Oryzias latipes: one gene and its partners. The protein of the gene in region 1 binds, or shares a complex with, the protein of each later gene. Links are inferred from orthologs where the notes say so. Each region holds a gene or a part of one and is shown in the gene's direction. Other genes may lie near its edges.

The links.
Region 2: taf3 (region 1) and tbp share a complex: the UniProt entries of both Homo sapiens proteins name them as parts of the TFIID basal transcription factor complex. The link is inferred for Oryzias latipes from reciprocal best matches to the Homo sapiens genes TAF3 and TBP.
Region 3: taf3 (region 1) and taf8 share a complex: the UniProt entries of both Homo sapiens proteins name them as parts of the TFIID basal transcription factor complex. The link is inferred for Oryzias latipes from reciprocal best matches to the Homo sapiens genes TAF3 and TAF8.
Region 4: taf3 (region 1) and taf11 share a complex: the UniProt entries of both Homo sapiens proteins name them as parts of the TFIID basal transcription factor complex. The link is inferred for Oryzias latipes from reciprocal best matches to the Homo sapiens genes TAF3 and TAF11.
Region 5: taf3 (region 1) and taf5 share a complex: the UniProt entries of both Homo sapiens proteins name them as parts of the TFIID basal transcription factor complex. The link is inferred for Oryzias latipes from reciprocal best matches to the Homo sapiens genes TAF3 and TAF5.
Region 6: taf3 (region 1) and taf6 share a complex: the UniProt entries of both Homo sapiens proteins name them as parts of the TFIID basal transcription factor complex. The link is inferred for Oryzias latipes from reciprocal best matches to the Homo sapiens genes TAF3 and TAF6.
Region 7: taf3 (region 1) and taf10 share a complex: the UniProt entries of both Homo sapiens proteins name them as parts of the TFIID basal transcription factor complex. The link is inferred for Oryzias latipes from reciprocal best matches to the Homo sapiens genes TAF3 and TAF10.

What each region holds. Positions count from the first base shown.
Region 1 is NC_019864.2:13,576,279-13,580,861, forward strand, and holds the start of taf3 (transcription initiation factor TFIID subunit 3), read left to right. Parts: upstream 1-1,561; 5' UTR 1,562-1,769; coding exon 1,770-1,935; intron 1,936-2,271; coding exon 2,272-2,514; intron 2,515-3,752; coding exon 3,753-4,583. UniProt on the Homo sapiens protein: The TFIID basal transcription factor complex plays a major role in the initiation of RNA polymerase II (Pol II)-dependent transcription.
Region 2 is NC_019861.2:24,478,561-24,481,722, reverse strand, and holds the end of tbp (TATA-box-binding protein), read left to right. Parts: intron 1-7; coding exon 8-175; intron 176-652; coding exon 653-747; intron 748-978; coding exon 979-1,058; 3' UTR 1,059-2,302; downstream 2,303-3,162. UniProt on the Homo sapiens protein: The TFIID basal transcription factor complex plays a major role in the initiation of RNA polymerase II (Pol II)-dependent transcription.
Region 3 is NC_019865.2:25,322,266-25,326,782, forward strand, and holds the start of taf8 (transcription initiation factor TFIID subunit 8), read left to right. Parts: upstream 1-1,617; 5' UTR 1,618-1,757; coding exon 1,758-1,805; intron 1,806-4,415; coding exon 4,416-4,517. UniProt on the Homo sapiens protein: The TFIID basal transcription factor complex plays a major role in the initiation of RNA polymerase II (Pol II)-dependent transcription.
Region 4 is NC_019865.2:19,681,463-19,685,838, forward strand, and holds taf11 (transcription initiation factor TFIID subunit 11), read left to right. Parts: upstream 1-1,379; 5' UTR 1,380-1,767; coding exon 1,768-1,941; intron 1,942-2,820; coding exon 2,821-2,951; intron 2,952-3,047; coding exon 3,048-3,135; intron 3,136-3,218; coding exon 3,219-3,315; intron 3,316-3,415; coding exon 3,416-3,546; 3' UTR 3,547-3,694; downstream 3,695-4,376. Other genes in the region: anks1a (ankyrin repeat and SAM domain-containing protein 1A), read right to left, coding at 1-125. UniProt on the Homo sapiens protein: The TFIID basal transcription factor complex plays a major role in the initiation of RNA polymerase II (Pol II)-dependent transcription.
Region 5 is NC_019859.2:29,661,287-29,665,658, forward strand, and holds the start of taf5 (transcription initiation factor TFIID subunit 5), read left to right. Parts: upstream 1-1,477; 5' UTR 1,478-1,621; coding exon 1,622-2,033; intron 2,034-2,946; coding exon 2,947-3,178; intron 3,179-3,253; coding exon 3,254-3,569; intron 3,570-3,645; coding exon 3,646-3,809; intron 3,810-4,316; coding exon 4,317-4,372. UniProt on the Homo sapiens protein: The TFIID basal transcription factor complex plays a major role in the initiation of RNA polymerase II (Pol II)-dependent transcription.
Region 6 is NC_019872.2:15,547,909-15,552,564, forward strand, and holds the start of taf6 (transcription initiation factor TFIID subunit 6), read left to right. Parts: upstream 1-1,501; 5' UTR 1,502-1,704; intron 1,705-3,228; 5' UTR 3,229-3,230; coding exon 3,231-3,386; intron 3,387-3,457; coding exon 3,458-3,544; intron 3,545-3,642; coding exon 3,643-3,796; intron 3,797-3,893; coding exon 3,894-3,950; intron 3,951-4,040; coding exon 4,041-4,160; intron 4,161-4,266; coding exon 4,267-4,388; intron 4,389-4,517; coding exon 4,518-4,595; intron 4,596-4,656. Other genes in the region: mrps31 (28S ribosomal protein S31, mitochondrial), read right to left, coding at 1-373, 1,108-1,205. UniProt on the Homo sapiens protein: The TFIID basal transcription factor complex plays a major role in the initiation of RNA polymerase II (Pol II)-dependent transcription.
Region 7 is NC_019865.2:7,762,285-7,766,700, forward strand, and holds the start of taf10 (transcription initiation factor TFIID subunit 10), read left to right. Parts: upstream 1-1,474; 5' UTR 1,475-1,724; coding exon 1,725-1,857; intron 1,858-2,174; coding exon 2,175-2,332; intron 2,333-2,492; coding exon 2,493-2,557; intron 2,558-4,401; coding exon 4,402-4,416. Other genes in the region: uncharacterized protein LOC101174996, read right to left, coding at 518-610. UniProt on the Homo sapiens protein: The TFIID basal transcription factor complex plays a major role in the initiation of RNA polymerase II (Pol II)-dependent transcription.

The sequences.
Region 1 (4,583 bases):
CAACCCTTGGTGTTTGGAGGAAGAGAAATGCAGCCTGTGACCACAGGAACACAAACCACACTGTCAAGCATGGAGGTGGGAACATCATGCTTTGGGGGTGTTAATCAGGACAGGGCACAGGGCTACTTCACAGTGTGGATGGGAGGATGAACAGAGCCACGTTCCTTCAAATCCTGAGTGAGAAACTCCTTCTCTCCTTAAGCCAGGAGGCTTAAAATGGGTCGTGCATGGGTCTTCCAACAGGATCATGACCCAAAACAAACAGCCAAGACAACCAAGGAATGGCTAAAGAGGCATATCAAGGTCATGGCGTGGCCCAGCCAGTCTCTGGACCTCAATCCAAAAGAAACCATATGGAGAGAGATGAGTCAGGGTTGCCAAGCTACAGCCACCAAAGATGTAATTTACAAAGAAGAGTGGACCAAAATTTCTCCTGATATGTGCAGAAACCTGATCAACTGAAAGAACTGCCAGACTTCTGTGATTTTTATTAGGGATTTTGCCACAAAAGCACTAAGTCTGTCTGGAAAAAGGGTTCTAATTTCCCTCAATGAAATGCAAATAAATTAATATAAATTCTTTACATCTCAATTTCTTGATTTTCTTTGTGATTTTTATCCCACGGTTCAAATTAACTTTCCATTTGGACTGTCAGTTTTTTAAGTGGGCAACCTACAAAATCAGCAAGAGATCAAATTTCTGCCACTACTTGAAAACCCCAAAATGTAGCTGTAAATATTTGACTGTAATTTTCCAAACAATTGTGACAATTGTAATATTTCTGATGCTTTTTCAAGCCTCAATTCTAGTAGAATTTTACCACAAGGAAAGGGAGTTATTTATACTTGTGAAAAATTGTGTAGTTATTAGTTGGTTATTTAAAAAAATTAAAGAGATTTCATCACCAAAGAAATTCTAATTTTGAGATTTGAAACAAGTTGGGGCCATTCGTTTTTCTGGAAAATATTTGTGGCCTGTTTTTAGATGACATCTTTTTTAGTTTGTATATATTTCACAACTTTTCGAGATTTATAAAACGGTCGAATTGAGAACTCTACATAAACTACAGTTATGTGTTTACGTTCTACACCAAAAATTGGGATTTTTACAAAACTATGCAGCGCCACCGTGTGTCGACACCTAAAAGCTGCATGTACTTACTTTGTGATCGCGCCTTATAAAATGTACGCTTTGAGTTTCTACGAGGTGCTAGTCTACAACATTTTTAAAAGATAACTTTTTAAAATGTGAAACAATAACGTACTGGTCAGTATGATAAATGTGTATTTGCTGAAGAAGGGTTATCATCAGCGAAAGGGCATGCGTGACTCAGCAGTGGGAAGCGAAACTAACCGTTAAAGCTCTGTCAGTTCCAAACATCTAATTAAAGTTATGTTAATCGATAACCGATACATTTAATTACATTTCTGAACACATAAATATAGCCGTTTATGACTTAAAGACGGTAGAAGCCTTTATTGAAACAAGGTCTTCCGCGCATGCTCAAAGCGGTCTTTCAAACACCAAGGAAGCGAAGACAAGCGCTCACTTGTGCGCATGTGCAGATTAGATTTCGGGGATGGGTCTATCGATGGAATCAAGATGGCGGCCCTGGCAAAAGCGCCAATGTATTTACTGAAGTAGATGTAAGATATTAGCGAAGTTCGTGGGTTTTCTCAACCCTCCGTGGGATTCGTTGAAGCATGACGACGGGAGGGATGTCCCTGTTGAGAAATTGACCGGGAATATACCGCAACAAAGTCAGCGAGATGTGCGAGAGCTATGCCCGCTCGCTGCTGCGTGTTTCGGTGGCGCAGATCTGCCAAGCTCTGGGCTGGGATGCAGTCCAGCTCACTGCGTGCGATCTGCTGTCTGATGTGCTGCAGAGGTACATCCAGCAGCTGGCGAGGGTCTGCCACCGATACTCCGAACTGTGTAAGTTCTGTGTTTTGTGTTCGGATTACTTTTAAACCAATAGTAGTAGATCACGTTGTTGTTGACTTGTCCTGTGGCGGGCGCCCCCTAGGAAGAAGTGATGTGTCAAAAAGTACAGTAGCCCCAAACTGTCAGTCATAGCGTCATTCTCACAGCATAACTTTTCACAATGGAGGAGTAGGTTTTACATGACGTCACTGTATTGTCTGATCAACGTTTATATTAGAATTATTTGCAGTATTTCTTGCTGCATGCAGAGTAAGTGTCCTTTTCTACAGTTCGGCAGAATGGGGGTCTCTTTGGTTTGTGACTGTACCCTGTGATCGTGTCTTTCAGATGGAAGAACAGATCCGATGCTGGATGATCTCAGCCAGGCCTTCCGACTCATGGGGGTAAACCTGAGCGAGCTGGAGGACTATGTCCACAATCTGGAGCCCGTGGCGTTTGCCCATCAGACGCCGCTCTTCCCCGTATGCAAAAACAACATGTTGCAGTTTCCTCAGTCTGCAGCCAGAGACGCAGACGAAAGGAAGGATTACATCCCCGATTACATGCCGCCCCTGGTTTCCCTGCAGGAAGGTGAGGTCACCTGTTGGTTTGGATGGCACCGACACGTTTATCAGTGCCTGTAGCGAAAGACATATTGACGTGCAAGTGTGTTACACTGAATCTACTGGAAAGCTGTATAAATGCAGGTCATTAGAATATCAGCCAACATCATATTTTCACAGTCTTTGCAAAATGATGTTTAAAAGTATTCTCCATTTGGTTTGGTTTGTAATTTACTGAGAAACAAAAAGGAAAATGAATGGATTGTGTGTGTGACTGTAAAGCGCTTTGGGCCTTGCAGGTAGAAAAGCGCTATATACGTATACGCCATTTACCAATAACTCAGAAGTGAAAGAGAAGCTAATTTAAATGATCCACTTCCTTTGACCTCATATTTGAACATCATTAAAAAATGCATATAAAACTTTGAAAAACATGAAAAGGTACTTGTATGATCAAAAATATGTCTATTTTCCATAATTCATGTGATGCTCACCATACAAAAAAATCCAAACAGTGCAGTTTCTGTATTTAGATAAGCATTAGTGTTTTATTGATCAGTTATTAATCCGATTTGCTTTTCCTTTATTAAAATGCTAGAAAATTATTTTCCATTTTTTCTTCTATATTTATTTTTTTAATTTTCAAATTGTTCCAGAAAAGTGTGCAGTCAGCCGGAAAAGGGACTTTTCATTTCATCGTGTCTTCCCTGTTTTTGTGGGTGGGACTTAGGCTAATGTCACACTCCTAACAGCAGTTGTGTATAGAAGTTTTCCACAGTTAATGTCAGATGTATTCACCTCATATAAATGGGTATGAAGATGGTGCTAATGGTCAAAAATATATTTTTTTAACATGTATATTCCTTTTCTCATAGTATCTGGTTTCAGAGGGTCAAGCTCTTGTCTCTATGGTTTAGGGTTTTATAGAATCCTCTTCTTTTAAAGGTTTTATTACTGCTATTTGCAACCAGTTTTCTACACTTTAGCATATTTAAAGGATGAACAGCGGGGGAAAAATACACAGGAATACAAAACAGGAAACAGTATGTCAGTGTCATGCTTGATCTCTATCCCAGTCCTTCAGTTTATTCCAGTGTGTTGTTTTTTTCTTCCTTATTAACTATGTAGGATTGTTTTTCAATGAAACGCATCGTTTAAAACATCTAAACATCAGTTTTTTGCCAATAATTTTGGTGTAAATGTTTGCTTTGTTGTAGAAGTTGATGTTGAAGTGTTTGGGCTCATTCTTGCCTCTTTGTTCCCCAGAAGAGGAGGAGGAGGAGGTCCCTCCAGACATGGGCACCTCAGCCGAAGCCATGCAGGTGCCGCTGGAGGAGGATGATGAGGAAATAGATGAAGAAGAGACTGTCAATGATGAAAATTATCCTCTGAAGAGGCATTTGGACAGTCCCGATGCAGCTTTGGGAATCATGCCCACCTCCAAGAAACCGCGCTTGTACCCTGGTCTCAGCCCGGAATGGGGGGCCGAGCCACGGGAGCCTCTCACATCGCTCAACCCGCAACGCGTCCCGCCAGGCGTTCTGCCTTCGCACGACAGCCTCGACCCCCTGTCGCCTGAAATGCCATCTGGTGCCCTGCAGCCCTTCAGACCTCAGCCGATCATACCAAAACAATTTGATCAAAAGAGCCTCGGCACGCCCGGGAAGAAGCCCAAGGTTTCGTCCCCTGGCAGGCAACGGACTAAGTCCCCCAAAGGTCTCCTCCCCGTTCCATTAATTGGTAGTCCCATCCACTCTCCAAAACCGTCAAAGGAAAAGAAGAAGTCTCCTGCTAAGACAAAAAGCCCTAAAAGTCCTAAAAGCCCAAAGATGAGTTCCATCAAAGTGTCTCAGCTTCAGAGCAAAGCAGAGATCCTGCTGAAGCCCCCGCTTCCCGCACTGAACGAGAAGATAGGCAAAGAAAACATTCAAATGCGTCACATTGTAGAGGACAGAGAGCCACCAGAGGGGCTTTTTAAGAACCTCGAGCCCGATAACACGGCCATCGATGACTCTATAGCTGCTGTCATAGCCAGAGCGTGTGCTGAAAGGGAGCCCGACCCCTTCGCCTTCTCCTCGGGCTCTGATTCCGACAGCA
Region 2 (3,162 bases), on another chromosome or scaffold:
TTTGTAGTGAGGAACAGTCCAGGTTAGCAGCTAGAAAATATGCCCGTGTGGTGCAAAAGCTCGGTTTTCCTGCAAAGTTTTTGGACTTCAAGATTCAAAACATGGTGGGCAGTTGTGATGTCAAGTTTCCCATTCGTCTGGAAGGACTGGTCCTCACACATCAGCAGTTCAGCAGGTAATTTCTCCTTGTTTTACTGCAGATTTAAAGAATCCGTATAAAAATCCCTGAAAGGCTTTTCAAAAATGTGACAGTTTAATCGACTATTGACAGTTATTGATAAGAAAATATGTTGGGACAGCTGTGCTGACACACATGCCAACTTAGGTATTAAACATATATGTTTAACATAAAAGAAAATATTAAGTAAAAAAATAAATCTGAATGGATGACAAATGATATAAATGTACTGAACAAGCACCACAATGATATGTATGCATCAGATTTTATTAATGCTCCAAAACCATCCATTTTTTAAACTGGTTTCCTGCAGTGTCTGTAAATCTGATAAGCAGGTCAGAATTGAACAAAATCCTAAACCACAATCTGACTCACAGACAGAAGTTTGACACTCAGATGGCAAACTATATATTTTTTTTTTATTCTCCTGGTTTTATTTTGCTTTTCTAAAATGAGGTAATATTTGTATTGCAGCTATGAGCCGGAGCTTTTTCCAGGCCTGATTTACAGAATGATCAAACCTAGAATTGTGCTGCTTATCTTTGTTTCTGGGAAGGTGGTACTCACAGGTAAGTTTTCACTAGACTTTTTTGTTTCCTATTGTGAGTAAAACAGGATGTTAACTGTATGTACTTATTGTTTACACTTTTATTTAGCATTTTTCTATTTTTTCTTTGTTCTCCGTGAAGTATTTAGAATTTTGTTGATGTAAAATTGAAGTTCCAAAACAGATTTTTAAATTCTTTTTGATGAGCTTTACCTTCTGTTTTTTAACTTATTGTATTTATTTCTATTTTTAGGTGCCAAGGTGAGAGCAGAAATCTATGAAGCTTTTGAAAACATTTATCCCATCCTGAAAGGATTCCGCAAGACTACGTAGAACTTATAATTCCCTGTTTTCTATCCAAACGCTATAACTTTTTACATTTCTGTCTATTTTTTCTTTAATATTCACTGAGATGTTAACATTTTAATATTGACCTCTTCAAGTTGACAGTAAAGACTTGAATGTGAAAGACTATTTGTCTTTCCCTTAATTTTTTTTTTAACCAAAAAGACATTTTAAAGGTCCTCTGCTCGTTTCCTCATCACAATTGATCTTCACCCGGAACTTTACCTGCTTTTAGCTTTTACATTTTCTTCTCTTCCTCGCTGGCAAGTTTTCTTACATCGAATTGTACGAAAATGTAAAAAGTATTGAAGAAAAAGGCAGGTAGACCGGGACTTTTCCTGGTTTTATTTCAGTGTTTCAGGTTTTGTATATATTGCAAACTGATTTTTTTCTATCTTTACTCGATTTATGAATGATTTCTCCTTATTTTTTGGGTCAACCCCTTGTAAACAATCTTGCCACAAAATCGATTAACTTTTCAAATTTCAAATTAAACTGAAGCCATACTTGTCCCCAGGTTACAGTGAAAGCCCTCATTTTATAACGAATAGAAACCATTTCAATAATTGAGTTATCCGATCCAGACTGTAGTTTGTTCTGCAATAATTTGCCTTTACCAGTCAAAGTCACCCCATGTTTCCATCATTGCTTGAAGCTTTTTATTTTTTATGAAGAAACTGAGCATAATTGTGATATCAGATGTGCTTTATTGTAAAACTTGTACAAATGTATATAACTTATTTTCAATTATTAGTCATTCAAAGTTGATAGGATGTTCCAAAAAGCTTAAAGCAAACAGGAAACTTGGAAAAATGATGTTAACAGGCATTCAAAACAATAATGTTCATTAGTCTGTCTTCAATTTAAATGCACCAAGACAAAGGAGTTTGTTTTTTTCTATAAATCTCTGCAGAGAGTGAGTTAACAGTGTAAATGCTCCTGCTTGTCCTGGTTTTTTTTCTTTCTTTCTTTTTGCAAAACTTTGTTTAGAAAAGTACTTATCACTTTTTGATTTGAGTTTCTGGCACTTGTTGATTTCATTTTCTCGTTAACCAACCTAAGGATTACCTTTCAGAAGCCAAACTTTTAAAATAAGTTTCAACTTAACGTCTGTTCCACTTATTATGGATGTTGTCACCAGAAATCCATTTTCCATTTGGATACCTGTTCCTCCACAACTGTTAGAGCTGTACTGTGCGTTAATAAACGTGTTCATACATCCTGTTCATAAAGCAGAGTTTTGTCTTTGTAACATCTGAGGTTTTTTTTACTTTAAGCAGTGTGTTTGCCACAGACTCATTTATTTATCTGAAACTATCTGGAGGAAATTTTTTGAAGTAAAAAAAACCCCTTCAATTTCTTCAAGTCTAGAAAAGAAACTTGAATCGGTCACATTGGGTGGAAACCTATAGAGTTCATAGGTCATCAGATCCATGACATTCAGTAGTTTTTATACAGTTTTCTGTAAGTATTGTTAAATTGAACACTTTGAAATTTGAGTAACATGGTGGTTCAACAGCACAATATGTAAGGTAAAAGAACCAATGGTTTTCTCTTAGTTCTATTTATAAGCAGTAAAACAGCTGCTGTTATTGGAGATGCATCTGAATGAACGGCCCAAACTGGTCTGTAGTGGCACATGACTTGTATTGGCTAATAAGGTCACGTTTAAAGTTTACTCGGTTGAAGTTGTCATTTCGTGAATTTGAAGATGTTTCCAAACTTTTCCGTTTTGGTGTTTGTTGTATTTGTGGTTTTTGGATTTGTGACAAATTTTCTCCTCAAACATCTAGGTTTTCCATCTTTCAGATAAAGACTGCTTTTCCAAAAAGGTTTATGTTGTAAAAAAAATTTTTTTTTACATTTAGTTTCTCTGTAGTAAAAATAAACTTGTAAAAGCATTTTTCACACACTAATTGCTTTACGGTTCAGCTTAGTTAAAAAAGAAAAAGAACTACAAAACAAGATAAGTAGGCCATCGTAGGACTGTAGGTGGTATGGTATCTTTAAGTCAGGCACCAGAAATGAGTGAAGTTTAAGGTTTGGCTCTCATGGCATGCACATGTGTGTTGAAGAGCAGCTAAAAAAACCT
Region 3 (4,517 bases), on another chromosome or scaffold:
TCACGGTTTGTCCTAATGCCATATTTGGACCAAACTGATGTAAAAATTATGCACATTTTCTGAGATATTCTAACATTTTCAATTGCCCTATATTTCCACTCTAAAAAAATTCCATAGGCGCATTGGGAACATTGTGGATTATTACAAGTCATAAACACATCCAGCATGAGTCATGGGTTCTGGCACGTTGTTATATGTTTATTGGATCTGTTGGGCAACAAATGATGTCACATACTCACTATAAGGAAAAAAACTGTCTCACTCCTTGTCCCACAAACTCCTGCACTTTAACCCAAAACAAGTGGTAATCTATAAAAAACAGAACAGTACACTCATGAATATGCATGAGTGTCCTCCACTGTGGGGGTTGGCTTCTTTCTGCTGTCCTTAAATTGAGATGTCTGCCCAAGTGTACAATGATTGTCCTCAATACACAGAGAAAAGTGAACTCTTTGGCATCCCCTTTAAGGTGAGCCCTGGCAAAAAAAGGACTTTGATTCCATATGAAGTTAAAAAACTGACCAAAATGTTCCTTTTTCTTTCTGCAGAGCCATCATGGAAAACAGTGGAGACATTGTACCATTTATGAAGGAGGTTCTGAAGGAGGGGCCCAGCAGGAACATGGTGAAGATCTACGCGCTGGGCTCTGCTCTGACCCTGCTGGGAATGGTCGGCGGAATGGTGGAAATGATTCTCCTGCCCTTTTCTGGGGACAGCCCTGCTGATGGCAAACAGACTGCTGAGCTTTTCATGGACAAGAAGAGAAGGGAGAGGCTGCTGCTGAAATCCCACCATGTCCAGATCCCCACTGAAGCTGAGGACATACTGAGCGTGGTGGTGCCTGAGGTCAAGCCCAAACATCTGGGCATGGTCACAAGGAGAAGCTCGGCCACTCGCCTGCATGCTTCCTAAAAAGACTTTCTCACTTTAACGGAAATGGACAATGGCAGACCTTTTTATTTTTATGAATTTCTAATTTATTTTAGTTTTGGTAAAAATGTTTTCTGCCCCTTTTTTTAACAGAATGTCAGATGTGGTGATACACTAAAAACTGCAGGACACAGTGACCTCAGGCTGCTGGGCAGCAGATTCTAATATGGATCAAATACCATGGGAAGGAAAGGGGAATTGTGCAATTCAATTTATTGTGTGTTTTAATAAAAATGGTGTTGTGCTAACCACTGGTACTCAGATTATAGGAAAATAGTGTCTACTTAAAGAGGCACATTTGCTGCTCCTGCACTGAAAAATCGTGAGAAATTGAACAAAACTTTTTTCTTTTAGTCTTGCTTTGATGGCATCAAGTATTTGGTGATTGAGGTACTTAATAGATGTCTGTGCAACAAGCCTGAATTAAAATGGGTTTTTTAATTGAAAATCACAATATTTTCTCTCTTTATTTTTTCAATTTTTTGGAAAAAAATATAACATTTATTCAGGATAACTTAACACTTTCAAAAAAAAAGTCAGATATTTGAATGCATTTTATGTTGTTTTTGTCATGAAGCCGTTTCTTTTCTTCCATCTGCCAGTGGATAAAAATGACAATGTAAACAATCGCAGTACTGTAGACGGACGTTAGGGGGCAGTGTCGGCTAAACTCAAGACATTCACAATCGTTTCCGTCTGAATGACGGAAGTGTCGTCATACATGGACAACTTATTTACTAGCGGTGGCTTATCGTGTCTAAGCGAATAAATCTGTTTAATTTAAAAAATTCACACCTAAAAAGGAGACATTTTTGAAGTTATTTCCAATGGCAGATCCCGCCGTGACGCCGGGAGGCGCGTTAAACTCCAGCGGGGTAAGAAAAGCGTTTGTGTTTGTCGTAAATGCTGCAGGTTTGCATCGGAAAGCTTGCTAGCAGCCACATCTGGATGCGGAAAGGTTTCATCGTTGATTTTGGGTTAAATGGCAACAAGTACGATTATACTCCACTTTGTTTTGAACGACTAGCTGAGCTAGCTTTAGTGTTTTTGTGCAACATGCTCTGTAAATGATTCTCTTCATGTTGAGACTATTGTTTCGGACGGAGTATATCTATGCTAACTAAGCCGACTATTCTTGATGATGAGGTTTTTAGTTTTCTGAACCTCCTGAAGGTTGCAACTCTCTTTAATACCTCCGAGCCCTCCTGGACTCTTTAGTACTGCCCTAACAGCAATTCAAAATATAAATTCACCCTTATTTATAGAGCGCTTTTCCTGCTACAGAACACCTCGATGTGCTTTATACAAAGAAAAAAATGTATAATGGTAATCATTAACATAAATTGCATGGTGGCGCAGTGGTTAGGACTCTTGCGCCCTGGTTCAAGTCCCGGCTGTGGGAACCTGAAACAGAACGGGACCTTTCTGCTTGGAGTTCGCATGTTCTCCCCGTCCATGAGTGGGTTTTCTCCGGGGACTCCAGCTTCCTCCTGGCGACCTGTGCAGGATGTTCCCTACCTTCGCCAACGAGTGGCCGGGATGGGCTCTGTAGCCCCGTGACTCCGAAAGGGTCTTAACGGGTTTAGAAGATGAAATGAAATTAGCATTAACATAATAAATATTGATTAACACATACACAATCTACAAGTCTCCAAAATAAAAAATAAAATATGAGGAAATGTACCAAACTCCTTGGAAAGCTACACAGATAAGTTTTGAGTTCTGTCTTAAGCCTCTACATTGGATGAAGCCCTCACATCCACAGTGCTGAAATGTGGCCTCGCTTTCTGTTCTGACCTTTGGGACCATCAGCAGACCTGCACCTAAGGTCTCTGAGAGGGTCATCAACTAAAAGCAGTTCTGATTAAAACTGAAGTTCCATTTTTTTATTAGCATGAGACTTGTAGAAACTAACAAAAGAACCTTAAAATGGATCTTTATGCTCCCTGGGAGCCAGTGCAAGATTTCAACATTTCAGTAATGTGCTCCTTCTTTCTGACTCTGCTTAAGAGGTGCACAGTTGAGTTTAGAACAAGCTGCAGCCAATAAAGATAAAGATAATCTATTTTAGATGTTAAAAAAGTGTGGATTCATATTTCAGTGCTGGCTTTGGAGAGAAAGGGTCTCACTCAGACAATATTTCTAAGATGAAAAAATGCAGTCTGCATCAAAAATCCCACCAAGATTTCTGAGTTTATAAGTAATGGGTTTATAAGGAAAAATGGACCCTCTCTTCTCAGCTTCAGGGCCAAGATTTAAGAAATGTCTGTTTTGTCTGTATTGAGCTTTAAGAAAGTTCTCTCCAATCCAAGTTTCAACATCTAAAAAACAACTTAAAAGGTCATCAGTGGGTCCCAAGTCATCAAGTGTCTCCTGATGACATCACCAAGTTGAAGCATGTACAGGTTAAAAAGTGTAGAACCAAGGACGGAGCCTTGTGGCATCCCACATGTCAGTCTGTGTTATGACGCATCATTTACATCAACATTAAAATCTCTTCCTGTGAAATGAAATTCAAAACGTCTGGAGACCGTTTCAGTGATAACATCTGCATAAGTATTTCTTAGGAACTGTAAACACAAGCAGCTGCTGCAGATTTTTTTCATTGTTGTGTTTATGATAAACGAACAAGTTTTACTTTAGATTTGAGCTGCTGTTTTGTAGACACTACAGAGGAAGGAAACTGACACGTCACACAGTGAAGATATGTGCAGGGCGCTGAAAGCTAGGCTGAAAGGAACATTGGTGAGCAACAGTATGGTTTCATGCAAAGGCTGAGAACCACAGATCCAACATTTGCTTTTAGGACGCTTCTGGAGAGGAACAGAGAAGGTCAGAAGGAGCTGCATTGTGTCTTTGTAGATCTAGAGAAAATGTATGACAGAAAACAGAGAAAGGAGCTGCGGTCTGGATGAGGAGTCTGGAGGAACAGAAGAACGTTGGAATTATGCAGGATATGGATGAGAGCTGGAAGACGTTGGTAAAAAATGTTCTGTAGGCACGACAGAGGAGTTCAAGGTGGAGGTGGGACTGCACCAGGGATCATCTTCGAGCACCCTCTTGTTTCCATGGTGATGGACAGTCTTGACGGATGAGGTTGGACAGGAATCTGTGTGGATCATGATGTTTGCAGATGACATTATGATCTATAGTGAGAGGTAGCAGGCGGAGGTTTCCTCTGGAAATGAGATGAATGAAGGAGCGGAATTCGAGTGGAACAGGGAGTAAAGGTGGAGGACTTTAAGTTCTTTGGGTCAAACAGTCCAGATCAACAGAGAGTGTGGGAAGGAAACGAAGAGCTCCCTCTTCATCTCTTCCCCTTGGAACCTCCCATTCCAAGGAGGTTAAGACAGGTGAAGGAAGGTTTCAGGTGTGACAAGATTGTTAGCAAGAACGAAAGGAAAGGTGTATAAGTCTGTGTTATGATCGAATAGATATCTTTGTCTTGCATCTAAATAGTCTGCATACTTTTTTTTTTCTTTTAGCGAGGGTCTGGAGCCAAAGCAGCTTCAAGCCCTGCAGAGAACTACCACCTGGCCCGGCGCCGCACCCTGCAGGTCGTGGTCAGCGCCCTGCTGACTGAGAGC
Region 4 (4,376 bases), on another chromosome or scaffold:
CTGTTGGCGCTTCCACCGGTCCCGGACAATCCGCCAGCGGTTTGTCGCTTCCCGGACAAAAGCTTCTCCACCGCCGCCAGGTTTCCCGTACGCGCCGCATCCAGAAGCTCCTGCTCTTTCCCCATTGCTGCTACCAGACGGGGGGAGAAAAAAAAAAAACAGGAGGTGCGGGGAGGAGAAGGAGGGGGGTTGCTTGTAGTAAAATTCCTCTGTGACCCTCTTCTTCTTCTCCCAACCTCAAGTTATTCCTGAGAGCTACTATGCGGCAGGGAACAAAAGCTCCCTCCAACCAGCGGCTCCTTCTGTCCCTCTCCCCGGTGCTGCTGGCGCTCAACGGGCAAAAGTTTCAGTCAGCAGCACGGCACCAACCACCGAGCAAACTTCCTCTGACCAGTCCTCCAAGCGTCGTCCGTCACTTCCTTGAAACTGCCCTTTCTTTCTGCATCTCCAATCCAAAGCTCTTCAGTCAGACACACTCAGATTCCCTACCACCGCCGCCCTTCGCAGATTAATAAAACATATGGACGGGGAAAAGCAACATGGCGCTTGGCAGGATTCTATGAGGACATTGGAGATTGTTTTATTGTTCCGTTACCCCAGTTGGTTTGAAAATCGAGAGCTAATTTTCTAACCGGATAGTGTGCAAATCGCTTACTTTTCAATGAAAAGAAATAGCAATGTGTATATATGAATACATTTAAATGAAATAGACAAATATGTAACCTAATATTTTTTGTTCAAATGAAAATACGACCTTTTCACTACTTTACATTTTTGGAAAATGTCTATTTATTAAAAAAGAAAATTTTTTTAACACTTCACTATTTTTTCAGCTGACCATACAAAATCAAAAACATCATGTTTCCTGTCACATTGTTATTTTAATGTATTGCAATATTTTGTGGAGTTAAAAAAAATTACAGGGACACACGAGTAAGATAAACTATGTTAGAGGTTGCATTGTAAATGATAAATGAACAGCTACAATTATGTAAAATGTAATAATTGTAAGTATTATTTTCTTGACAATATTTGTTGTTGTATTTCCTGCGTAACTTTAGCACAGAGTTTGTTTTTTTTTAACCGTGACAAGGTGGCGTAAAAAAACAATGTTTTGTATGTTCTATTGGTCTTAAAATATTCTAGTTTGGTTTCGTTTTTGCAATTTTCTTCTATTTTGTGTTGAGTTTATACATATATATATATATAGAGAGAGAGAGAGAGAGAGAGAGAGAGAGAGAGAGAGAGAGAGAGAGAGAGAGAGAGAGAGCAATTTGACACATTTTTCATGGACAGTACTAACTTCAACACATTTTGACATAAAAAAAGAAACATTTAACGCCTTGTTAATAAAGTTTATTCAAAACGGAAACGGAAGCACTTGGGTTTTTTTAGGCTATTATTCGATGGTAGATGTTTACCAGGAAAGCTAGCTTATCTTCTTTAGTTTTTTGCCTTTCTATGTAGTACTTATAGTTATTTATCCATTGTTTATGTAGACCTTTTTTCTTTTTGACATAATTACCGGTGTGTGTCGTTTAAGGACCGTAGACTACATTAGTGCACTATAACAGCTAACTATTAGCTGCTAGTGTTGCGGCAAAGGGCTTTGTTGTTGACGTCTCTAGCTAGCTGTAGAGGAACGTGCATGAGATACGCAGTTTTCATCCAGAATTTATTCAAATACGCCGGCTACACAGCTGAAACTAAAGTCTCGTAATAGCTTCTTCGTTGGTGTTTGCAGACTGCTGTTTAGAAACTTAGGTTATGGCAGACCCTGCACGGATAAAGCCGGCAGAAGACAAGTCTGAGAAGGCAGCAGCATCCAAAGGGGAGCCGTGTAAAGAGACGAACATAAAAAATGAAGCCATCGCAAAAGAATCTGCAGACGAAAAGAAAGAGTTGTCCGCACAAGATCCATCCACAAGGGAGGTGAAACATGTGAGTAGAAATGACTGTGTTCAAAAATCCTTTGTGGAAGAAAAAAAATCTAAGCAAAATCTAGATGAGTGGAGAATTATTTAGGTTGTTAGCAGTACAATTGAGGAGAAAGTTACAGTCTAATGCATAGATCTATGGAAGTTTGACATAGACATACAACCAATTCTGGACCAAATCTGTTATCAAAAATTGGGGGGAAACTGATGTAATAAACAATCCACAATATTAATGGTTGTTTAAATATGATACTCGTGTTTTGGTTTTGTGCAGAGAAAAAGAACTTGGTACAATATGTCTTTATTTTCATTTAGAACATTATAGTAATTTTGGAGTCAAATATGTTTGATGCATATTTGAATTAATGGGCTTCAAGGGGTTGAACATTGATTTCCAAGACAATTAAATTGGGACCCAAGGTAAATAACTAGATAAGCCTGAAGAAAAATGTACAAAATCCTGAGTATTTATTAACAATGTTCAAGCAAAATATTTTCATTGAGGAAGTATTTAACTTATGTATTATTTTTATTGTATATACAAAATAAAACTGACTCTTTCTTAGCTTTGACATGCAGTTCATTTTTTAATTATAAAATAACTTTTGATTGACTAAATTTGGTTGAAAAATAAACCCTTCATACTTGATCACATTGGTCTACCATTGCTTTTTTTAAATCCAAGTCTTCTTTTGTTGGGTATGTTAGAGTGTAGCAAACTTACATGTAACGAGCTTCACTTACATCCTCACATTGTATTCTAAATAATTGTGCATTGAACAAACACAACATTAAAAATGGGAAGAAGTACTAAAAATTTAGGAAGGGAAATCCATTAAAGTGTAAGAAGACTTTAATCATGATGGGTTTTTTTTCTGAAAAGGAAGCTGCACCTGGAGATGATGAAGAAGAGGGAACCTCCGGTCAGCCTCCTGCAAAAAGGCTAAAGGTGGAGCCGGATAAGAAAAAGGAGAAAAGGCAGAAAGTTGACGAAGATGAAATACAAAAGATGCAGTAAGACTGCCGTTTTTATTTTTTCCTGAAATATTCCATGGTGCTGTCATCTTTATTAATTTCACCCCGTTTCTTGTTCTTCCTGGATTCTTTTAGAGTTTTGGTGTCTTCTTTTTCTGAAGAGCAACTAAATCGCTATGAAATGTACAGACGCTCTGCCTTCCCCAAGGCGGCCATCAAGAGGGTGAGCTGTCTACAAAAACTAATTCTTTTTCCTCCCAAAAACGTTCTTCTGTCATTCTTGTGGCTTTTTTGGTCGACCTCCAGCTGATCCAGTCAATCACAGGATCGTCAGTTTCCCAGAATGTGGTCATAGCAATGTCTGGTATTGCCAAGGTTTTTGCTGGAGAAATTGTCGAGGAAGGTGAGTGTTTAAGGCAACAAATAGTTTCTAGTATTATGCAGCTTCTATCCATTTTCCTGGAAGCTTAACATTTTTGCGTCTTTTGTTTTTCGATTCACAGCGCTTGATGTTTGTGAGAAGTGGGGGGACACGCCTCCGCTTCAGCCCAAGCACATGAGGGAGGCCGTCCGAAGGCTGAAGAGCAGAGATCAGATTCCCAACACAAAGTATAAGCACATTCTGTTTCACTGAGACCGTTGACCTGTGGGTTAAATGAGGATGCAGGTGATTAAAACAGCCTCAAGAGCCTCTTGTCAAACTCCAGCCACAGAGGCAGGCGGACATTCTTTTTCCAAGGACTAGTTTTTTTGTGTAAATAAAGATTTTACTCTCAAATTTTTTTTGGTACGATTTGGGTTTTAATTTTAAAAAAAAATCCTATGTGGACATAAGCAAAATTGATATTTCAGACGTTTTCTTAGTGTATTAGAGGTTCATGTTTATAAAAGGTTTGATATTATGAAAGGATCTTATAGCATTTACTTTGTTGTTGAATTGGTCATATTTTTTAGGTCTTGTGTTTACGGTCAAATCTGGGTTCAGTCCCCGTCTGAAAAGGAAGTTTCTTCCTTGCTCATCAACTCTTTCCCAATTTTGAGAAAATCAAACGTTTGGCTTTGTTATTTTGGAACATAAAACGTCTTCAATGTGATATTACTTAAGTGCTCACAGAAACATTGACTACCTCTTTGGTATAAACTCACTCGGTGAACAGCAAATCTTTTCTACTGGAAAGAAAAAAACACAGCAACATCAAACTGTGTTCAACAGTTTATTTTTTTACACTTAAAATCTTTACAGCACACTGATTTTGGTTCACAGAACCAGTTAAAGTTTAGTCTCAATGGAAGTGATTCTACCCATAGAAAAGTCAATGTGATTATTTTCTTTTTCTTTTTTAAACCAGCTGACAAAAATACTGTGTACAACATCTGAGTCATCTGATTTTCAAACAAGTGCAGTTTCCAGTGAATTGCACTCACACAGTACAAACACCTCAGTATATGCATGTGCAGTTTGAT
Region 5 (4,372 bases), on another chromosome or scaffold:
TTAGAATTGTCCGTTTTGCTGCTGCAATTATTACATTTTCCACTTTTTCTTTCAAATTCTATAGAAATATTGTCCATACTGATGTTTGAGTGTTCCTCCTCACATATATGAGTAAATTCACACCCCAATTTGCTTTATGAAAAAGCCACCTGCCTTCCCTTTCATTAATTGATGGTTCTCTATCCCCACCAACCCTAGAGAAAAGAGGATAATGGTCACTCCCCATGTGCTGTCATGTAAAGCCCACTAACAACACCCTGCCAATACATTCCAAACACAAGTGAGATCTAGTGCTGACATGTTCCCTGTTTGTTCATCTATCCTTGTCCCTCCCCAATCAATGAGACAGACCAAGTATAAATCATCCATCATGTCCTCCAGTACCTCACCATTAGCATCTGTCACCTTCCCCCCCCATAAAGTGCTATTTGCATTAAATCCCCAGATAAGAAGACATGCCCATTTTTCCTTTGAGTTTTTCGTTTATTTTAAGGTTTTTGCTCTGATCGCTTATTTCCCTCTGACTTTTATTTGATCTTTATGTTTTCACTTTTATCCCTCTTTTCATTTGACTATTTTGTTTATGCTCTTGTTGCTTTCTTCTCTTTGGTTTTTCTGTTCTTTATGTTTGTGCTCTGATTGCTTTTTTCCCTTTGAATTATCCGTTGATCTTTCTCTGTTGATCTTTATGCTTTTACTTTGATCCCTTTTGTATTTTTTTCGTTTATCTTTGTGTTTTTTCTTTGATAGCTGTTTAGTTTAGTTTTGCTTTGATTGCTTTTTTAACCGTTGACTCTCTTTGAGCTCTATGTTTTTGCTTTGATCCATCTTTTCCGATTGAATTTCCCTTTTGATCTTTATATTCTTGCTTAGATTAAAATTTTCAGTTGATCTTTTTGTTCTTAATCTGAACGCTTTTTTCTCTTTTTTACTTTTCCTGGGATCTTAATAGTTTTGCTTTGATTGCTTTTTTACCCCATTTGTTTCTTTCTTTGATTTTCATGTTTTCGCTTTGATTCGTTTTTTTTTGTTTGTTTATTCTTTAATCTTTTATATAATTATTTAAAGTTAATTTCAATCACAGAGACAAAAAAAACTAGTTTGATCAGAGGAATTTACCCATTTTAATAAAAAATATTAACAACATTGTAATATCAGCTCAACAAAGGCTGTGTCATCTGATGATCTCATGAGCACAAAAGTAGGAAATTATTAAAACGTTTAGGACCTCAAATGTATTACTTCTAACTAGACCACTATTTTATTTTATTTTGTTTCCTTGTATGGATGTATCATTTTGTGTATTTCTTAAAAAAATGTAGTCTTGAAGAAAAAAATTTGCTCAAGTTTTTATCATATACAGTTCTATCAATTTTGGCCTTAAAAATTGTTTTGATTTTTTTCTAAATCATAGACACAGTTTGAATGATAAAATGTCAATAAAGGTTTATTTAAAAAAAAAAAAACAAGACAAAAAAAAAACCCGGAACCGCACGAGCCGTCCAGGAGGGGGCCGGGCTTCTCACACACATGTCACTCTGAGAACCAATCAGATTTGCTTATCTTGCGCAGTCAGTTCTTCTCGTTTTTCAACCTCGCACATGCGCACTTCATTCTGAAAATGGCGGCCGTGCAGGGTGGAATGGTCGACGAGAAAGAAGAAGTCGACATAAAAACCGAACCGCAGAGCGACGGGCTCATGAACACAAATGCGACCGACGGGCGACAGCTCTCTCCGTCCCCGAGCTCCAGCAGCTCGGCTGGGAGCACCAAAAGTGCGGCTGGGGCGCCGGAGGACCAGCAGACGCTGCTGGCGGTTCTACAGTTCCTGAGAAAGAACAAGCTGACGGAGTCCGTTGAAATTCTGCGGCGTGAGGCGGGACTGCCCGAGGATGCGCTGGACACAAAGGGGGCGGACTGCAGTGCGCCCAGCTCGGGCGGCACCGCTGGCGGCGTGGACGGCCTGGATGCGGGCTCTCTGCTCAGCCGGGTGGCCGTGTCTTCCTCCGCTGGAACTCCGGCGCCGACCAAAGGTATGACGCTCCAAGCGGGACTCAGCCCGTCCACCGGAACTTTGTTCGCTCCTCATAAAGCGCGCGCAACAGTTGTAAAAGAATCGAAAAGACACGTTTAGAAGCTGCAAAAAGAACGTAAATTACACACACTGACAAACAAATGTGGACAAAACTTGATCGCAACATACGTCCCGGGGAAGCAGAGAGGTGGTCAAACTGAGAATCCAAATTAACAAGAACACAAACTAAAACCATGAATCTTTTTAAGTAATAAATATAAATAAGTCTAAATACTTTATACAAATATTTGTGTCTGTCACTGTTCGTTTTGGTCTACAGCTGACCTGATACAGTTTAGTGTTGCACACAAATAATCAGATCAATTGAGGTGATCAGGATCACACACACAGCAGAATATCCTGTGATGAAGTGCTTTAACAAGGTTCACACTTCTCAGTCATCTGACAACTTCCAGCATTTTCACACATTTGATTTTGTCTGTTTTTTACATTCAGAGATGTGGCTACTCAGAAGACAGGACAAAGCCTCATTGTTATTTAATGATAAATAAATGAAGATGGCAAAAGCAGATTTAGCAGATTGAAGAGCTCCAACTTTGAGACTATAGATGGGATTCATTAGATTCCAGAAAACCTGAAGTCTTTATGCACACATGATGTCAACAAACCCTGAGAATGGACTGTAAACCAGGTGATCGTTTTCCTGAAATATGTCAGAGTTGCTATCAGGTAAACGGGTTTGATTCTTAGACATCACCTTCAATTTCAATCCCAGTTTAGATGAGTTCATCCTGGCTTTACCGTTGAAACCAGGTAAGCTGCAGATCCAGCAACAGGTCCATAGTTGAAGGGTCTGTGAGTCTTTCTGGGCTGCTTCGCGGTGGGGGTTCATCACCTCTGGATTCTCTCAGCAGCAGTCGCAGACGATCAGCCCGACGTCAGTGTGGTGCTGTCAGCCTACAGCCAGCAGGGAGACCCGGCTCTCTACAAAGTTTACTACAGCGACCTGAAGAAGTTCATCGAGTCGGTGTTGGACTGCCACCGGGCAGAGCTGTCGCAGGTCTTCTACCCGCTCTTTGTCCACATGTACCTGGAGCTGGTGTACAACAATCATGAGAGTGAAGCCAAGGCCTTCTTTGAAAAGTAAGTCCCTTTAAGGTTTACGTTAAAAAAGTACGCCCTGCTCCGCGCGCCTTCTCGTCACGGCCTCGTCCGCAGGTTCAGCGGGGATCAGGAGTGCTACTACGAAGACGACCTCCGGGTTTTATCCAGCCTCACCAAGAAAGAGCACATGAGAGGCAACGAGACGCTGCTGGACTTCCGCACCAGCAAGTTCGTCCTGCGCATCTCCCGTGACTCCTACCAGCTGCTGAAGAGGCACCTGCAGGAGCGCCAGAACAATCAGATCTGGAACATCATCCAGGAGCACCTGTACATCGACATCTTCGACGGCATGCCCCGCAGCAAGAGCCAGATAGACGCCATGTCAGGCAGCTTAGCAGGAGAGGCCAAGCGGGAGGCCAACAAAGCCAAGGTGAGGGAAGTTCCCGACAGATTTAGCACGTTCCTCTGTAATCCCGTGAGAACAATGCCATCTGTTCTGGCTGCAGGTTTATTATGGGCTGCTGAAAGAACCAGAGATTGAAGTGCCCCTGGATGATGAAGATGAAGAGGCGGAGAACGAAGAGGGCAAGCCGAAGAAGAAGAAGCCAAAGAAGGACAGCATGGGTTCCAAGAGCAAGAAGCAAGATCCCAACGCTCCGTTGCAGAACAGGTGAGGTTCTGCGGTCAGCAGAGCAGAGCTTCTGCATCTTCAGGAGCTTCCGCCACAGGCAGGCTCTTCCTCTTTCTGTGGGAGAGCAGCTTTAACGTTTCCCAGGACGTTTCATCTGCTTCTGGATTATTCTGGTTTGTGTTTGGATGGCTTTAGTTTCTAGAAAAGCCCCGTCAGCTCCGTCCCCCTCTTACTGCTCACGGTGGGGCAAATAAGCTGCTGTTGAGGCGGGAATCCGTCTGAATGGCAGGTGTTACAGGACAGAGCTTAGAAAGTCTGAAAACATCAGTGAAAGCGGGGCTTTTGAGCTCTGAGGGCTTGTTTGGTTCACCTGCAGAGTTTCCCCTGTAGACAGTCTGTCACATGTGCACGTGTCCTGGCTGGACGATGTCACAGCTCCTAAACCGAAAACATTTCTGAAACATCCGTTTGTGCTTATTAGATTTCCAGAGTTTTCTTGCAGTCATTTCCTTTGAAAGTCTTGAGTAATCAACTTTTCATGGTCAGGATACCTCTGCCAGAACTGAAGGACTCTGACAAGCTGGACAAAATCATGTACATGA
Region 6 (4,656 bases), on another chromosome or scaffold:
GGTGCTTTCCATATCTGCTGGCTTGGACTTATACTGTGCAGCTGACTCAATACTTTGCTGTCTCTTCATAGTTTTAAGCTTTCTTTTATTGGTCACTTCTACTTTCATGGCTCCAAGTAGGTCCAGGAGGTTTTCTTTCTCACTCTTTCCTGTATCCACTTTAGGCTGTTGTGATTTTGCCAGAAGCTGTTTAGAGTTATCATCTGCCTGACGGTCTGCGGTCCCTCTGTCTTCAGTCTTTAACACGCGTTGCTCCTCCTTCTGTTCCGGCAGTTTCGTTTGGCTATCTATAGATGTGCCAGCATTGTCTTTTTTTTCACACAATCTGACTGAATTTGTGCAGAAAGTCTTCAATCCAACTTTGTTTAAGGTTCTGTAGAAATATAAATACCAAAGTGCAGTTAATGCATCTTAAAATAGGAATGACAGGAATGCATAAAAAATCAAATATGATGGAATGTTAGCATACTTTTCTACTTTACATTAGAAATATTTGTTATGGTGAATCACTTCACACGTACAATCATAGCTATAAAGAACTCTTCTCCAACTTAAGGATGGGAAAAGGATTTGAGCTTATTGTGAAGCCACTTGTATCTCAGAAACATTGATATAATTTTGTCACCAGAAACAAAATTTTTCAAAAGTCAAATATGAGTTCAATGGTCTTTTGAAAATTGGTCTTTTGAAAATTGACAACAATTTGGGTTAGATCTAGGACTTGATACGGGGAGATTTGAAAAGCTGCAAGCTAAAAATAAGTCATTTTTGGACACTTATGACATGTGGGCTTTCGTTTGAAAAGATAATGTTTGGTTACAGTTCTAATTCAATTTTGGTTATTATAAATACAAAAAAGCACAGCATGTCGTTTAGCATTTAAATAAAGTAGTGGTTTTGAATTCAAACAAATTTAAGTCTAGAATTTCACACAGTCCGGCAAGTTAAAACACAAATGTCCTTCCGGGGATCGAAAAAGCCAAGAAATAAGAAGCAACATAATCAGTTTTTTAAGGGTCAAGATTTTCTTTTAACACAAGTATTACCACATTTGTTGTGGCTCAACGATATCATGCTATTATTATCGGGAGTACTCCTATTCCTCACCTGAAAACATTATCACAGTTACTTGATAAAAAGGACTCGTGAACGTACAGTACACGATTTCGTGCCACAATCGTTGTCCGGGATATAAATTGGTTCATATTTGTTTCTTGAAATGTCCTTTCACGTTTGGAGCTTTCATCCGTGGTAACGAGAAAAAGTCACCCGGAAAACATTACTCCAAACACTAGTTCCGTATGAACGTTAATTCGAGCAAAAGCTATCTTGCTAGAAAATTTGATTTTCATAATTTTGCCATTTTAAGCTATGAGCGTCACATTAATTAAAATGTACAAATGTAAAACGTGTTTCAATAATAAGATACCTATTTTAAAATAACAAGTCTCCTGATTGTTGTGTCCACAACTCTCGCGATATTTCGTCCGCAACGTGACTCAAAATGGCGATGGAACATTAGCGCTAATTTACAGACGGATGGCTCTGCTTCAGCCAGGAAATAAGTTTTGTTATTTACATTGAGAAATGGGGATTTGCAAGGAAAAAACGGGGTTACGCTATTGTCAGTGTTGTAAATACTGATAGTGTTCATTTGTGGAAATCCTGGCCATAACTCAGAAGAGGAAGGACAACTTCTTACAGGTATAAACGTCAAAAAGAAGCTAAGTTGTTAGCATATAAGCTAACTTGCATTAAATTTAGCGCTCGTTTGTAAATGCACATCTTAAACAATGTGCAGCTGACAGTGATCCTAAAATTGGAAGAACTTTTATTTACTTTTAACTGCAATTGCGTTTAGGAAATCCCCCGTTTTAGTTCCGTCGGGGGGTTAACCCGCTCTCTGTGGAGGAGCGGTCTGTTTGTGTTTGTAATGTATGAAATCATTTTTATGAACCGATTATCATTTTAGCCGATTGGCCTTTTTCTTGTTGCTTTTTAGGTGAGAGATAACTCTTAACACGAATGAACCTTGTGAGACGGTACATAAGAATCGGGACATCTGTTTTATCCAAATAGTGAAGACCGCCTTTAGCTTACTCATTTGAACATCGAGTTCTTAGCAGCATTGATTGTTCAACGTCTGACACAAAAAAGTAACCGGACCTTCAAAACTACGTCTAAACGCATAGCTATTTGAGTATTTTTTACTTTTTCGTAGCCCGATTATATTTTTGGCTTTTGGCGCTAATGTCTGTGTTCTACTAGGGGATCATTGAGATCTTTGACAGCGTTAAAGATACAGTCACGGGAATAATAATAATGTGCTTCAATCATCATTGATTTTCGATGTCATTTCCAAAGAGTGTATTTCAAAGCACTTGAATTGACTATTTTTGAAATATTTCATCAGACAGGTCCCCCAATACATATTTTAGCAGTTTTGTTTACAGTGAGGCGTTTAAATTAAAAAGAAAATAATAGAAAGTAATAAACAACAAAACGTTCAAAAAGCGCAACTCATATTTGGCTAGAAAAAACAAAGATCACACATTTTAAGTGAAACTGCGTTTTAAAGATAATAGATATAGATGCTTATTATTGAAAAGCTTTAAATTAAAGCAATTACAACAAACAAAATAAAGACTTATTGAATTAATTGTAATAATTTCGGCAGATATGTTTATCAAAACGATTGATCCAGTTGTGGGGGGTTTTGGGGATTGAAAAAAAATGTTTTTTGGTCAAATATGTCTTGTTTTCTCTCAAGTGCCATCAAATACCACCGGGGTTCTCATAACCTTGCTAGAAAACTACTTTTCTACATACCATACTTGACACAGATATTCTCACTTCCTGCAGTCTTTCTTTCTTTTTTGGTTTCTTGTTTCACTGTAGGAAACTTTTATTACTGTGGTTTAACTTGCAGTTTATACAGTTCTTTGACTGTTAGCATGCTGGATGCTCACAACACTAGTCTTTCTAGGCTAAAGTAAAGGTGTGATGTTTTCATTAAATGAAGATAAGGTCCACGAACATATTTCCTTCTTTTTTCTTTTTCTTCGAGATATAAAATTTTTTTTTCCTAGTGTCTCATTTATAACAAATAATGCCGTAACAATAAGATGGAGAATGAAAAATATAATTTTAGACTTCTATAAGCTCCAGTTTGTGTCTGGTTTCAGTTTACAATGAAACTTTTTGTATGGCCCTGCTTTGTGTTGACAGCCATGGCGGAGGAGCGTCGGCAGAAGCAGTGCTCGGTCACCCTTCCCACCGAGTCCATGAAGGCCATGGCAGAGTCTGTTGGGGTGGGGCAGTTACAAGAGGAAAGCTGCGTCGCCCTGAGTGAGGAGGTCAGCTACAGAATCAAAGAAATCGCGCAGGTAAGAGCTCTGATGGTTTATGGAATATGTGAAGCCGCATACAATCCCTTATTCTGTCTCTTTTTGCACAGGATGCTTTGAAATTCATGCATCATGGGAAAAGACGTAAATTAACTACCAGTGATATAGATAATGCCCTCAAGCTGAAAAATGTGGAGGTAAGGTTTAAATATTTTGGAACACATCCATATTTATCAAGTTTTGGGAAACCCTGTTTGTTTTATATTCTGTGCTCTAATTAAAGTCTCTTTTATAGCCTCTGTATGGATTCCAGTCTCAGGAGTTCATTCCTTTTCGCTTTGCAAGTGGTGGAGGGAGAGAGCTTCACTTTTATGAAGAAAAGGAGGTCGACCTCAGTGACATTATTAACACACCCCTCCCCAGAGTTCCACTAGATGTCTCTCTCAAAGGTAGAGCGACCGTTACAACCTTTTAAAATCACAGTTTTTAATCTTTTAAACGATTTATCTGAAAGTTCATGGTTTGTTCTCTTTTGGAAACTCACAGCCCACTGGTTAAGTATTGAAGGAGTTCAACCCTCAATTCCAGAAAATCCCCCTCCAGGTTCGTCCTGTTCTAACCGTCTCCCCCAAAGGAAATTGAATGCTTTAAGGACAAAAATGACAACCTTTTATGTTGTTTACACTTTTTTAGCAACAAAAGAACAACAAAAGACAGAGTCCACGGAACCCCTTAAAGTGGTCAAACCAGGTCAGGAGGAGGAAGGGGCGATTCAAGGCAAAGGTCAGGGTGCAACAGCTCCTGACGGCAAAGGTCGGTATCAATTATTTCATTTTGTTCCAATTTTTCTTTTTGCTTCTCTTCACCAATAAGAAAGGGTTAATAATTTGGGTTATTCCTGTTTTAACGTGTGTTTCAGGAAAAGAGAAAGGTTCGATCAGGTTGAAACCACGCAGCACTCATGAGCTGTCTGTAGAACAGCAGCTGTACTACAAGGAGATCACAGAAGCCTGTGTTGGCTCCTGTGAGGCAAAGCGAGCAGTAAGTCCTGCAGATGTTGGTATAGATGTTTTATAGTAAAAGCAAAAAAGCTCCAATATTCCCCCATACTGGTAAAATGTTACCTCAGCTTGATGATTCATGGGACTTTTTCTTTATGTGTTCACACAGGAAGCTTTGCAGAGTATAGCCACTGATCCAGGACTGTATCAGATGCTTCCAAGATTCAGCACATTTATATCTGAAGGAGTGAGCGTGTTTCCAAACTCTCCCAGATTTCAATGTGTTTCTAAAGCACCAACTGTGTCAT
Region 7 (4,416 bases), on another chromosome or scaffold:
AATCCTGCACAATACCCCTAGTGGTTATAGTTTGGTGCCAGTGTCTGGCACACATTTAGTGTGTGAATGTGTGTATGCATGGGTGAATTGGACTGTGACTGCATAGTGCTTTGGGCTTTTTAGGAAGGTAGTAAAACTGTATATAAATATACATCATTTGGCAAAAATTAGGACTTTAATAACAATTTGTGCACACAAATGAACATTTTTGTCATCAATTCCCTCTACTAAAATAGAAAATTTGTGGGCAATTTGTCCCTACAAAATGCTAATTAAAATTATGTATATATATATATATATATATATATATATATATATATATATATATATATATATATATATAGTTTTTGCACACAAAATACTAAGTCATACCCTTTAATTTTTCTAATGCCAGGGATCCGAAAAAGTTCAATTAAAATTGTGTTTACAAAAAATGTATTTGGTTATGATGCTTTTATTTGTCATATGTGTCAAATGAGGCTCTAAAAACAGGGGAAGGAGGAGAAAGAGAGGATACCTTCATGCGTTCAGGATGGATTAATGCAAACTCGGAGTAACCCGCTCCCCGACAACCAGCTCCAATCACGATTGCTCGGACCGTGGCAGTCATTCTTTAAAACTCAGCTGAAGATCAAACATGGTAAACATTTGACTAGGAAGATCCACCGGTTACGAACAGCACAGTGTTTTCTATAGTAAAAGAAACGTATTAAAGATCAAACCATTATTAATCACTATCCTATTTTACAGACACAACAACACATAGGAGAAGGCGTATTTCCACATCATAATTTCCGGTAAGACCACATGATTCGCCACTTCACGAAAGGATGTTATGTCTACCTAATTTTTCCAGCACGACTATCAAAACCTGCTGGATCTTTTTTGTTTGCCTCCGCGCTTTGTCTAGACGAAACTGCAAAGTCATCGGAGGTCAATGAGTAAACATGTTCTTCACAAAGACGATAAAAGTCACACAACGCCTACTTCTTTGTAAATAGTTGCAGCCTCCACGCGCCAGTCAGGTCGCTGTCCATCTGCTGCGTTCAATGTCCCTCGTAAACAGCTACAATTTTCCTGTCATAAACGCGTTATGTTGTGAAAAAAAAAAAGAAAAAGATAAACGTTAGCAATGGTAAGGTCCTTAATATTCAAATCATCCTGCGTAAAAAGTACAGGTGCTTTGTTCATAACACATTGCCAGTTAAATCAGTTTAATATGTTACCTAAAATGTATCTTAACATGTATCTCACTATTTTTAAGGCTGCACTTTTTTTGTCACCGGTCGTGGTTATTAAATCTGACTTAATCTTCTAACTGTCGTTCAACTGTAAATATTTCTCAATCGTAAAACAGCTAAACTATGAACGTTTACAAACGCTGTTGAGGTTGCTGTTGTTGCATTATCAAATAATCTCAAACGCAACCCCAGCCGTTGGTTCATACGGCTTACGTCATCAAATCCTACGTATTGTCGCGGTCACATGACGTCAGCGGCTGTAGCACAGGCTAAGCTTTCACAGCAACGATAAAAAAACAACAACTGATAGTTTTCTGTAGTGTTTAGTGTTCTCGTAGTCAAAAAAAGTTTCTTAAATCAACAAAAGTACCTCTTTAAACGCCTGGCCGTGTTGCTATATAGCACCATATAGAAATTTTGATACAAATTTCCATACATCTGTCTGAGTTAGCTTTTTGAGGTTAGCGCTTAGCTAATATAAACATGAATGTAGACAACGTAAATCCGTCTGTTACAACAGGAGTTGTGTCTACGACGTCTTCAGCTTCAAGTAATTGCATTGCCAATGACAATGCAACAACCAACGTCAGCAGCATTCCTTCGGTCACAAACAATGGTAACGAAACATAATTTTGGTCAACAAGATCTGTGCTAACAATGTTGTGCTACGACGATGCCCCATCTGATGATCTGACATTTGTGGTTTTGCTAGTTAAGTCAATTTGATTCACATACTGATGCATTCCTGAGTCTTTTATGCATATTTGGAGGATTGTCCGACAAACGTTTTTCTTTATCTGTTAAGCATTTCTTACATTTCGTTCTGCTAAAAAAATAAAACTAAATTTTTTAGTTAAGCTCCGCCCCAAAAAGTGTTGTGTGTGTATATAAATATAAGTACATTTGATTTAAGTGATAATTACAACTTTGCAGCTGCAGCTTCAGCAGCCCCGGCAACTCCATCAGCAGACTCATCAGTCTCCAATGGAGTCTACGTTCCCGCTGGCATAACCAATGGGGATGTGAAACCTGCTGTCTCCACCACACCTCTGGCTGATTTCCTCATGCAGCTGGAGGATTACACTCCTACGGTAAATTTATCACCCTTACCTTTGAGTTAGTGATGGGGATGCCTTGGCTCAAACGAGATAACTGCTGTATTTTTGTTTACGTCGTACTGGCAGGGTAACTACATGTAAAAATATTTAGATTATTTAGTCTCTCTCGTGTATTTTTCCATTTCTTTTGCAGATTCCTGATGCAGTTACGGGATATTATCTGAACCGAGCTGGATTTGAGGCTTCTGACCCAAGAATGTAAGTGATTGAAACTAGAAATATGTCCATATTTTGTGTGATATCAATGCTTAAGTAGTGATCTGCTAAGTTGTAGCATGATTAATTCTAAAGATAATCAGATTTTTAATTTTGTGCAAAGCTAAAAAGAAATTACATACTAGCTGATCTGTGTTCAATAACAGTCATGTTTTCATGCCTGTATTAGTTATGCTTGGGGTTTAATGTGTTTGTCAACAGAGGAAGCAAAGGGATTTGGTTGGGTTTATTTGAATTGGAATTAATTGTAAAGTGCTTTGAGCTGCTCGAAGAACGATAAATACTTTTTAAAAATAAAGATTGAGTTGATTTGTTTATGAATTTATCTGGAATTCTGAGAGAAACAAATATACATCCTAAATATGCAGCTAAAAAACTAGATTTAAATGCATAGAGAGCTTGTGTAATGCTTAACTGTGTATGTGTTGCTTAAACATGCAGGTTCAATTATAGTATTACAATTACCCATAATTTCCGGATTATAAACCGCTACTTTTGTCACACGCTTTCAACCCTGATTCTTATTCAATGATGCTTCTAATTTATGCATTTTTTTCTTATTATTTTATTTTCATGCGTTTTTTTTTAACGGCCACTCGAGCAAAACGGGTGGAGGAGCGAGTCAGGGGGAATGTGGTATATGTTTTGAGGAAAGACGCAAGTTTTATGTAAATTCCTGCTTTGTGAATGAATAGCACGAACAGACCCTCATCATGGAAAATGCAAGACGAAATGCATATGACGCAGCTTTCAAGTTAAAAGCAATCGTTAAAAGCAGTGTGAAAAATACCATCACCAACGGGTTTGGAGAAGCCGGTCTGCTGCGTGACGGAGAGGACAGCGCAAACACAGGAGAGAATTTGCCTCAGGATGAGAGGGACAAACTGACAATGAAGGAGACACAGAGAGAGTGTGTAGCGAAGTCTATCTGATGCTATTCCAATCCGACACTGAGGAGGAAGACCTCAATGGTTTCAGAGCACAGGAGGCGTGTGCCTATAAGTTACTGCTGCTCTCAGTGACTTTCACCGGTAGTTTTTTTTTAACCAGCTCTGTTAGTGCTGTTACAACCATATTGCTGCCGTGTTCCTGCCGCGTCACAGGCACTGTTTGGAAAACAGCTGTGACGGTGTGGGATTTTTGATCACCGCAGTGATGAAGCAGCAGGAGTTGCTGTGTCGCGGTTTACCCCCCCCCCCCCCCCCCCAAAAAAAAAAAACAACAACAACAAAACAAACAAACAAACACAAAATCTCCCTGGCGGCCACGTCGCTAATGAATACCTACTACAACGCAGTATTCTTAATTAAAAAATAACACTAACTACTAACTATCTAACTAATAAACTCACTACATAGGTGTTGTAGAATGAGTATGTGTGTCAGCGCACTGTGTGTGTAAGAGGAAGGAGCCCGAACAGAGCAGGAGTGAGAGCCTCCCTCTTGCGCTGCACTAGCTCTCCCCTTCCTCCGCTGTACGCGCTCCTTCCTCTTTCTTACACACGCCGCTCGTGGTTTCAGCACATACACATCCTCATTCTACGACGCATGTTTCAATGTGGGCACATGCGGCTTATAGACTGGTGCGGCTTATGTATGTACGAAATGGTTTATCCTTTAAAAATGTAATGGGTGCCGCTTATAATCAGGTGCGCTCTATAGTCCGGAAATTACGGTACATATCCTTCACAGGTTGTTTTATTTCTTGTTGCTTAATTTTTTTTGTACAGTTTAATGTGAGGTTTAGTCATGCTCCACTCTATGGGTTCACAAATATTTCAACCCTATGTGAAGACTCACTTATAACTCTCTTTTGGATATTTGCAGAATCCGTTTGATCTC